Caenorhabditis elegans: one gene and its partner. The protein of the gene in region 2 purifies or fractionates together with the protein of the main gene of each other region. This does not show direct contact. Each region holds a gene or a part of one and is shown on either strand. Other genes may lie near its edges.

What was found.
Region 1: the proteins of F57B9.8 (region 2) and gcy-17 fractionate together in Caenorhabditis elegans (co-fractionation; one large-scale study listed by BioGRID). This does not show direct contact.

Annotation. Positions count from the first base shown.
Region 1 is NC_003279.8:2,230,920-2,234,839, forward strand, and holds the start of gcy-17 (Receptor-type guanylate cyclase gcy-17), read right to left. Parts: upstream 2,181-3,920; coding exon 2,142-2,180; intron 2,095-2,141; coding exon 1,928-2,094; intron 676-1,927; coding exon 566-675; intron 513-565; coding exon 265-512; intron 219-264; coding exon 107-218; intron 1-106. Other genes in the region: dct-9 (Major sperm protein), read right to left, coding at 2,859-2,936, 2,982-3,056, 3,136-3,321, 3,378-3,483, 3,769-3,853, 3,906-3,920. UniProt on the Caenorhabditis elegans protein: Guanylate cyclase involved in the production of the second messenger cGMP.
Region 2 is NC_003281.10:6,933,205-6,937,124, forward strand, and holds F57B9.8 (Tyrosine-protein kinase), read right to left. Parts: upstream 2,116-3,920; 5' UTR 2,075-2,115; coding exon 2,018-2,074; intron 1,971-2,017; coding exon 1,752-1,970; intron 1,707-1,751; coding exon 1,542-1,706; intron 1,495-1,541; coding exon 1,183-1,494; intron 1,139-1,182; coding exon 854-1,138; intron 804-853; coding exon 507-803; 3' UTR 457-506; downstream 1-456. Other genes in the region: Cell adhesion protein byn-1, read left to right, coding at 1-7, 54-149, 198-431, 2,324-2,449; coq-2 (4-hydroxybenzoate polyprenyltransferase, mitochondrial), read left to right, coding at 2,778-2,896, 2,940-3,046, 3,362-3,528, 3,573-3,694.

The DNA of each region.
Region 1 (3,920 bases), on a different chromosome or scaffold from region 2:
CCATAATTGAAATAAAACAATTCAGTTCTCGAATATATATCTTTCAAAGATATCAGTGTCTTTAAACTACAATCACCAAAAAACTATTGGTAAGATCAATACTCACTTCTTCCTCGCTTTTTTATTTCAACAATCGCAGCTCTCATATCCTCCAACTTCTTGCTCTGAATCCGAAACGTGTAGGCCAACGATAGCTCCTCATGCGCAGAGGCTACTGTCTGTTGAAAACCTTTTTTTAAGTTTTACCACTTTTCCCCAACTTACCTGCACATCATCCTTAAGTGATTCACACTTCTCATCGTCTCCATCATTACAATACAGGAACACAAACTCCGTCCACTGGAATTGCTTTAAAGTTCCAAGAATTGCCATAGCCAGACTATAGCTATTCACGGAAAATGGTAGAGTTGTAGGAAATCGTTTGACATCGGTTAGTTGTCTAGTCGATGTTAACCCCCACTCGAATATTGGGATGTTGTAGTAAGTAGCGAGAGCGGAGCTGATGAGAGCCGCTGAAAATTGAACAGTTTTTGGATAGGGTCTCTTTTAGAGGGAGAAAGCTTACGTCGAGAACAAGTAGGGCCGAATATGACGTCGACTTTTTTGACTTCAAGTAGATCAACAGTCTTCCCGGCGCCCAGAATTTCATTACACTCGTCAAAGTCCCAAAGGAATCTGGAACGAGGCAATATATGAGATAAGTTTTCGAAAAAAATTGCGGGAATTCAAATTTCCCTTTTTCAAAAATTTCGAAAAGTTCTGGAACCTTCCGAAACTCTTTGGAAACTTTTGGAAACTTCAGGTAAATTCTAGAACATTCTAGAACGTTTCAGAACCGTCTGGAAACTTTTAAAATATTCGAGACATTTTTTGGAACCTCCTGGGAACTGGTGGAAAATTTAAAAACATTTTAGAACTTTTTGAAACTCCCTAAATATTCTAAAAAATTCTGGAACTTTTTTTTAGAAATATCTAGAAATTTTGAAACAAACGTATAAAACCTTCTGAATCGTTTTGGGAACTTCTAGAAAATTCTAGCAAGTACTAGAACCGTCTGGAAACTTTTGAAATGTTCGAGACATTTTTGGAGCCTCCTGAAAACTTTTTGGAAACTTCAGAAAATTTGAAATAATTTCTCAACCTTTTGGAAACTCCCGAAATATTCGAGAAAATTCTGGAAACTTCTGGAAATGTCTAGAAATTTTGAAAAATGCACATTAAACCTTCTGGACCATTTTGCAAATTAAAAAAAAATCTCGAATGATCTGGTATCTATTGGGAACTTTTGGAAACTGAAAAATTTGACAGCATTTTTGAACCTTTTGGGATCTTTTGAAATATTCAAGAAAATTATTGAACCTTCTGGAAAATTCCGGAAGATTTAAGAACAATCTAGGAACCTACTGGAACCTTTTGTGAACTTTTAGAAAAATCTAAAAAGTTCTGGAACCGTACGAAAACTTTTAAAATACTCGATAAATTTCTGGAACCTTTTGAGAACTTCTGGAAAATTTGAAAACAATTTAGGATCATATTGGAACCTTTTGTGAACTTTCAGAAAATTCTTTAAAAAATCTGAAAACTTCTGGAAACTGCTGGAAAATTTGAGAACAATTTAGGAACCTCCTGGAGATTTCTGGAAAATTCGAGAAAATTCTGGAAACTTCTGAAATCTTCTGAAATATTCTAAAAAAATTCTCAAGCATTTTTAAAACTTCTAAAAAATTTAAAACTTCTGAAATAATCTGGAACCTTTTGGAAATATCTAGAAATTTCGAAAAACAACATAAAATTTTCTGGGCCATTTTAGAGCACTAGAAAAAAAATCTGGAATGTTTTGGAACTTGGTGGAAAATTTGAGAACATTTCGGAGCTTTCTGGAAGCTTCTACCACGGCATATCAAGATCTCCTGTAATTCCCACTTACTCAAAATCAAACCCATCCAGCACATGATCCTCCCGAATCTTATTCTTTGTCACCAGAACCGCCGCCGCCGAAGTTCTATACCCAATGCCGACTTGCAAACTTGAAACGTTTTGCACGAATAGGAGACCGACTTTTATTGTTCGACGAGCCTGGCAGTTTGCCAATATCTGGATATCAGATTGTTATTTGAACTTTTGAGACTTTTGAGACTAACCAAAAATGGAGTGAATATGAAGAGTCGTAGAAATAACATTAAAAGAAGCTTGCCCAATGATAAGCTCAACTTATGAAGAGCGAAGAAAAGAGACAAGAAGCCATAAATTCAACTTTATTCCTATTAATCATCATGTTCTTAGAGTAGGCTATATGCAATAATATAATGATTATTATGTCAGCAGCTCTTCAAGGAATCCTTTTCATGGCTCAGGAGGCTCAGAAGCTCAGAAGTCCGTTCTGAGTAAAGAATCACGTCATCAAGGGGCATTGAAAGGTTAAAACTGCTGATATGATGCCGGAATTAAAATTTTCCGACAAATCGGCAACTCGACAAATTTCCGAAATTAAAAATTTCCAGCAAATCGGCAAACCGGCTGGAATTGAACATTTCCGGCAAATCGGCAACTCGACAAATTTCCGAAATTAAAAATTTCCAGCAAATCGGCAAACCGGAAAATTGCCGGAATTGAACATTTCCGGCAAATCGGCAACTCGGCAAATTTCCGAAATTAAAAAATTTCAGCAAATTGGCAAACCGGAAAATTGCCGGAATTGAACATTTCCGGCAAATCGGCAAACCGGCAAATTGCCTAATTTGTCGACAAAAAATTGCCGAACGGGAATCGCCGGCCACCTCTGGGTAGAACCAGTACTTAAAAAAAGAAAAGTATTCAAAAAATTCCATGTTCAATGTATTTATTCTAGTAGTAATCAATCAAATCGCAATTTTTGTGGAGACCGTGGTGGCGGGAGCTTGAACGTTGTTGATTGGAGAAACCAGGGAGATGTTCAACTGGAATATTGATTTTATTGATTTTCAAGATTTTTGAATTTATGCCTTGGTGTAAAGACGCTCCAACGGCCACTCATTGTACGATCGCTTCCAAAGAGCTCGGGCAATTGTACGCGATTCCTGGAAATTTTTAAAATTTTTTCTAAAAATTTTTGGGCGATATTTTCTCCTCTGCCTCGGCCACACCACAAAATCTCACCTTCTCACTAGTCGGCTGAATTTCATCAGGAACTCTCAGACACTCGACGGCCAACTTCAACCGCTTCTGAGTGTACTCTCCGTATGCCAGTGGCCAATCGTCCGACGACATCAGAAACAGTTTGATGACTTTTTTCTCGCCGGGCTTCAGGATTCCACACGACGAGTCGACTTTGAAGATCTTTTCCTGGAAGGTAGGTAGGTAGGTTAGGCGTCGATTTTTGAAGAACAAAACTTCCTTACTCTTGCCTTGATGTTGTATGCAACAGTATGCGGATCACGATTTGCAACAAAGAATCGGACGTAAAGTGGAGTACGGTATTCGTTTTGCGAGTAGAAGAACAGCCATCTGGAAGTTACAGATTTTATTGTAGGCAGGTACATTTTCATGCCTAGGCAGGCGCAGTTTGCTTGCCTACCCCAGGCCTACCTTGCGCCTGCTTGCCTACTTTATGCCTACGTACTTATTTATGCATGTCTACCTATACACCGATCTCACACCTGGCGCCTTGCTTGCCAATTCCAAAGCTGCCTATCTACGCGCCTACATGCCTACCTGTCTCCTCAATCTTAGCTGCCTACATGCCTACCTGCTTGCGTGTCTGTCTCACGCCTGCCTACCTGCCTAACATACCTGGGATAAACGACAAGATCCTGATCAGGGGACGTGCATTTCATTTGCATGGTTGTAACTTCCGCCGATGTTAGCACATTTTTTTCTGAAACTTCCTTTTAGTCTTCCGATTATTGTAGAATCGACCAGAAACTCACCATTTCCCGCAATTT
Region 2 (3,920 bases):
ATTAGAAGTGAGTTTAACTTAAATATTTTTCATGTATATTCTTTTTTTCTCAGTCTGGAACATGTACACTTCGTGAAGCTGTTATCTTCAGCTCTGTCCTCACCAAAGTCCCGATTCCAATTTTTCATTCCGCTGCTGCTATGCTTAGGGTAACTTTTGTTTTAAAATATCTCATCAAAAACCTGTTGATATTTCAGATTGCCGAAATGGAATACACTGGAGCTAATTCCGTGTTTCTTCGAGCTCTCATTGATAAGAAGTATGCTTTACCGTATCGTGCAGTCGACGGAGTCGTTAATCACTTCATTCGTCTGAAAACCGATGAACGAGATATGCCAGTTTTGTGGCATCAGTGTCTTTTGGCACTGTGCCAGCGATACAAGAACGATTTGAATGCCGAGCAGAAGGCAGCTATTTATGAGCTGATCAGAGTAAGTTTAATTTTTAAAAACTATTAAAACTTCGAGTTTTATTATCACGAGAACATCTAGTTAGGAGAGTTATTTTCATGGCTTCTTCAGTCTCGAATCCTTACCAGACAATGGACCCGAACTAGGCCCAGAGTTGCCACCTGGACCGTTCGATGCGCTTGACGGTTTCTTCTTGTTACGTCTTCCAGTCTTTTTAGCAGTTTTATCTCTCATCGGATCTGACATTGGTCCAGTAGACATCATTTTTGCACGGAGCTGTCCTGTCGACTTGTTGACCGAGGTTTTATCTTTCTTTCCTGTGATTTCGTACATCATCTGGACAACTTGGCTCATAGTGGGGCGCTGTTGAGGATCGCGAATCCAGCACTTTTTCTGGAAAATTCCACATTGCTATGAAAATAGTGGAATGAAATAGAACTTACAATAACATCGGCAAGCATAGCTGGAGCCTTTTGACTAATCGGCATACGGTAATCATCGCGTCCAACCTTCTGATGTACCTGCACCACCAACATCTCCGGATACGGCTGAGCTCCATTCTCGATCACCTCCCAGCAGAGAATCGAGAAAGCAAACACATCAGTTTGTGGAGTATAAAGGAAGGAAACGATCGTTTCTGGTGAGAGCCATCTGATTGGAACTCTTTTGCTCGGATCCATCTGATACTCCGTTCCAACTCGAGATAAACCGAAGTCAGAGACTTTAGCCTGAACGTTATTAGTTATTAACTTTTAAATTATTTATAACATACAACGCCTTTTCCATAGAGTATGTTTCTGGCCGCAATGTCCCTGTGTATAATGTTTTTGCTGTGAATGTATGCCAGACCAGCTGCCACTTGTGCGATTATATCCAGTTTCTCAGGCCATTGTACCGATGAATTCTTCTGAAGATATTTATCCAGAGCACCACCAGGAACTAACTCCATGACTACTAGCAATGGTTCATCGATTGCAGCCACGCCGTAACATTTTACAACGTTCTTGTGATCGAATCCGCGCATCAGACGTGCTTCTGTGATGATCTCCTTGATTTGTTCTTTAGTCACTTTTTCAAGTTTTGCCTGAAGTTTCGTCATTACTTTTTATATAAAAGTCTAGTCCAACTCACAACTTTTATAGCGACATCTACTGTAGTCGATCCCATTTTCAGCGTCCCAAGCTTTACTTCTCCGAAAGCACCTTCACCAAGAACTTTTGTCATTGTAATATCGGCGTGATTCAGTTCCCATGATTGTCTACCGATAGGATTCACTAGAACACTGCTTGCAACTTCCTGAACAACAATAATTAGTCTATAATGTGCATGAATCGCTCGTACCTCACTAATTTTAGCCTGTTTGTGATGATTTACTAACTCAGTCAATGTTCCAAATTTAATTTTATCAGTGATTGAATATGCTCCGTCGCTTGTACGAATCACATAATGAGCAACTTCTTGACTTGTCTCGTTCTGCATCACCGAAATGATCAAATGACGTGCTTGTCCTTGAGGCTCTGACGTTCTCATCAGATAATCGCCATTTTTTTGAAGTAAAAGCTGAAAAAGTCGGTGCTCCTTTTAAATAAATATTACTCTCAAATTACCTTTACTTCTTCTCGTGGAAGAAGTCCGTGAAAGAATGGTTGCTCATTGATCTCCATTGCGCCAATTATGTGAAAAGAGTGTAGAATTAATTTCTACGATTATCGAAATGATTAAAATTTCACTTCTGATCGATCTTATGCGTGTTTTCTTCTTTTTTTTAATTTTTTTCCTGGCGTATGGGTTCACATCATTGGTCACGTAAATTTTTTTTTCATAATTATAAAGTTTAAGTCAGGTAATTTCCGAAGTTTTATGGTCCCATGAGTTCAATGTTTCCATTGTTTTTAACCAATTTCAATTTATAGTTCCATGGACACTATCTCATCTCGCCTGAAATTCGCCGTGAGCTCGAATCCAAGGAAACCGAAGACGGACATGTTATCACTTCAGTTGTGGTCGAAGGCCGAAAGACGGATAGTATGGAATTCTAAATCACACACAAACAGAAAGAGACGCAGAAGAGAAATATTTCCCGCTTTCACTCTATTCTGCACGTAGGCTTTGCTCTTTTCTTCTATTTCCATTATTGTTCGTTTCCCCGCGCCCCTCCCCAAAAATTGTTCATTTCTTTGTTTTTTATTCATCATTGTTGGTTATGTTACTCTCTTCCTCATTCAAATGAAATTGTTGTTGATTTTCTAAATACAAAGTATTAGTTTCAAAGAGCAAAGGTTTTCGTCCCTAACTTAATGCTTGTTTTTTCAAATTCATGTTATCATGTCTTTGACGAGAGAAAGTTTTCAGATTCGTCAAAAAAAAATGATAACCAGGTCAATAGGTATCGCTAGAAGATCCAATTCGATTAATTGCATTGTTGGATCAAATACAAGCACTTCATATAGTTTAGATGAATCAACAAAAAGATGGATTTCCACTAGGTTCAGAATTCGAAAATTTTAATTTTAATTGTTATAATTTTAGTACAAAACAACCAATGTCACTGATACCAACTGCAAGTAGCCTTGTTGCTTCTTCTCCGCCAAATTTGAAGCCATATCTTCAACTGATGAGAGTCGACAAGCCTATCGGTAATTTATTATTACACAGACGCGAAGTTTTGGGAGTTTTGCGCCGAAAATACGATACCTAGTCTCGACGCGATTAATTTTGTAAAATACAAACAAATGTGCGCCTTTAAGAGTACTGTAGTTTTAATCGATTTTGAAAATTCGATGAAAATTCCGCAGCAACGAAAGTTTGGAAGTTACAGTAATCTTTAAAGGCACGCACCTTTCTGCATTCAACAAAATGTTGTCGTGTCGAGACCACGTACTGTACTTTCGGCGCAAAAATTTTCACGTGCGCAATTGGTTTGATTTGAGTCCTTAACGTTTATTTTTCAGGTACCTGGCTCCTGTATTGGCCATGCACATGGAGCATAGCAATGGCAACTCCAGCTGGTCAATTACCATCTATCTACATGCTTTCTTTGTTCGGAGCTGGTGCTTTTTTGATGAGAAGTGCCGGATGTGTTATCAATGATTTGTGGGATAAGGATTTTGATAAGAAGGTTTTTCAAAATGAGAAGTAAAAAAAAACCGAAAACTGTTTCAGGTTGAACGAACGAAACTAAGACCATTAGCATGTGGCTCGTTGACTGAAAAGCAAGCAATTGGGCTTTTGGCAGGACTTCTCAGTTCTTCGCTTGCTATTCTGCTACAATTGAATTGGTACAGGTAAGGCCGGTGGAAATATTTACGAAGTTGAAGGATGAATCCGAAATGAAAGTTTTATCAAAAGCCACGAGGCTGAAATGCATGCGCATGAATTATTTTGCCAAAAACAAGTACGGTTCCCGATCTCGACAAGAAAGTTTTTGTTAATGCGAAAAGATTTGCGCCTTTAAGGATTACTGTTATTAAAAACTTGGTGTGATGTTTTCATATATTTCCTTAACATTTC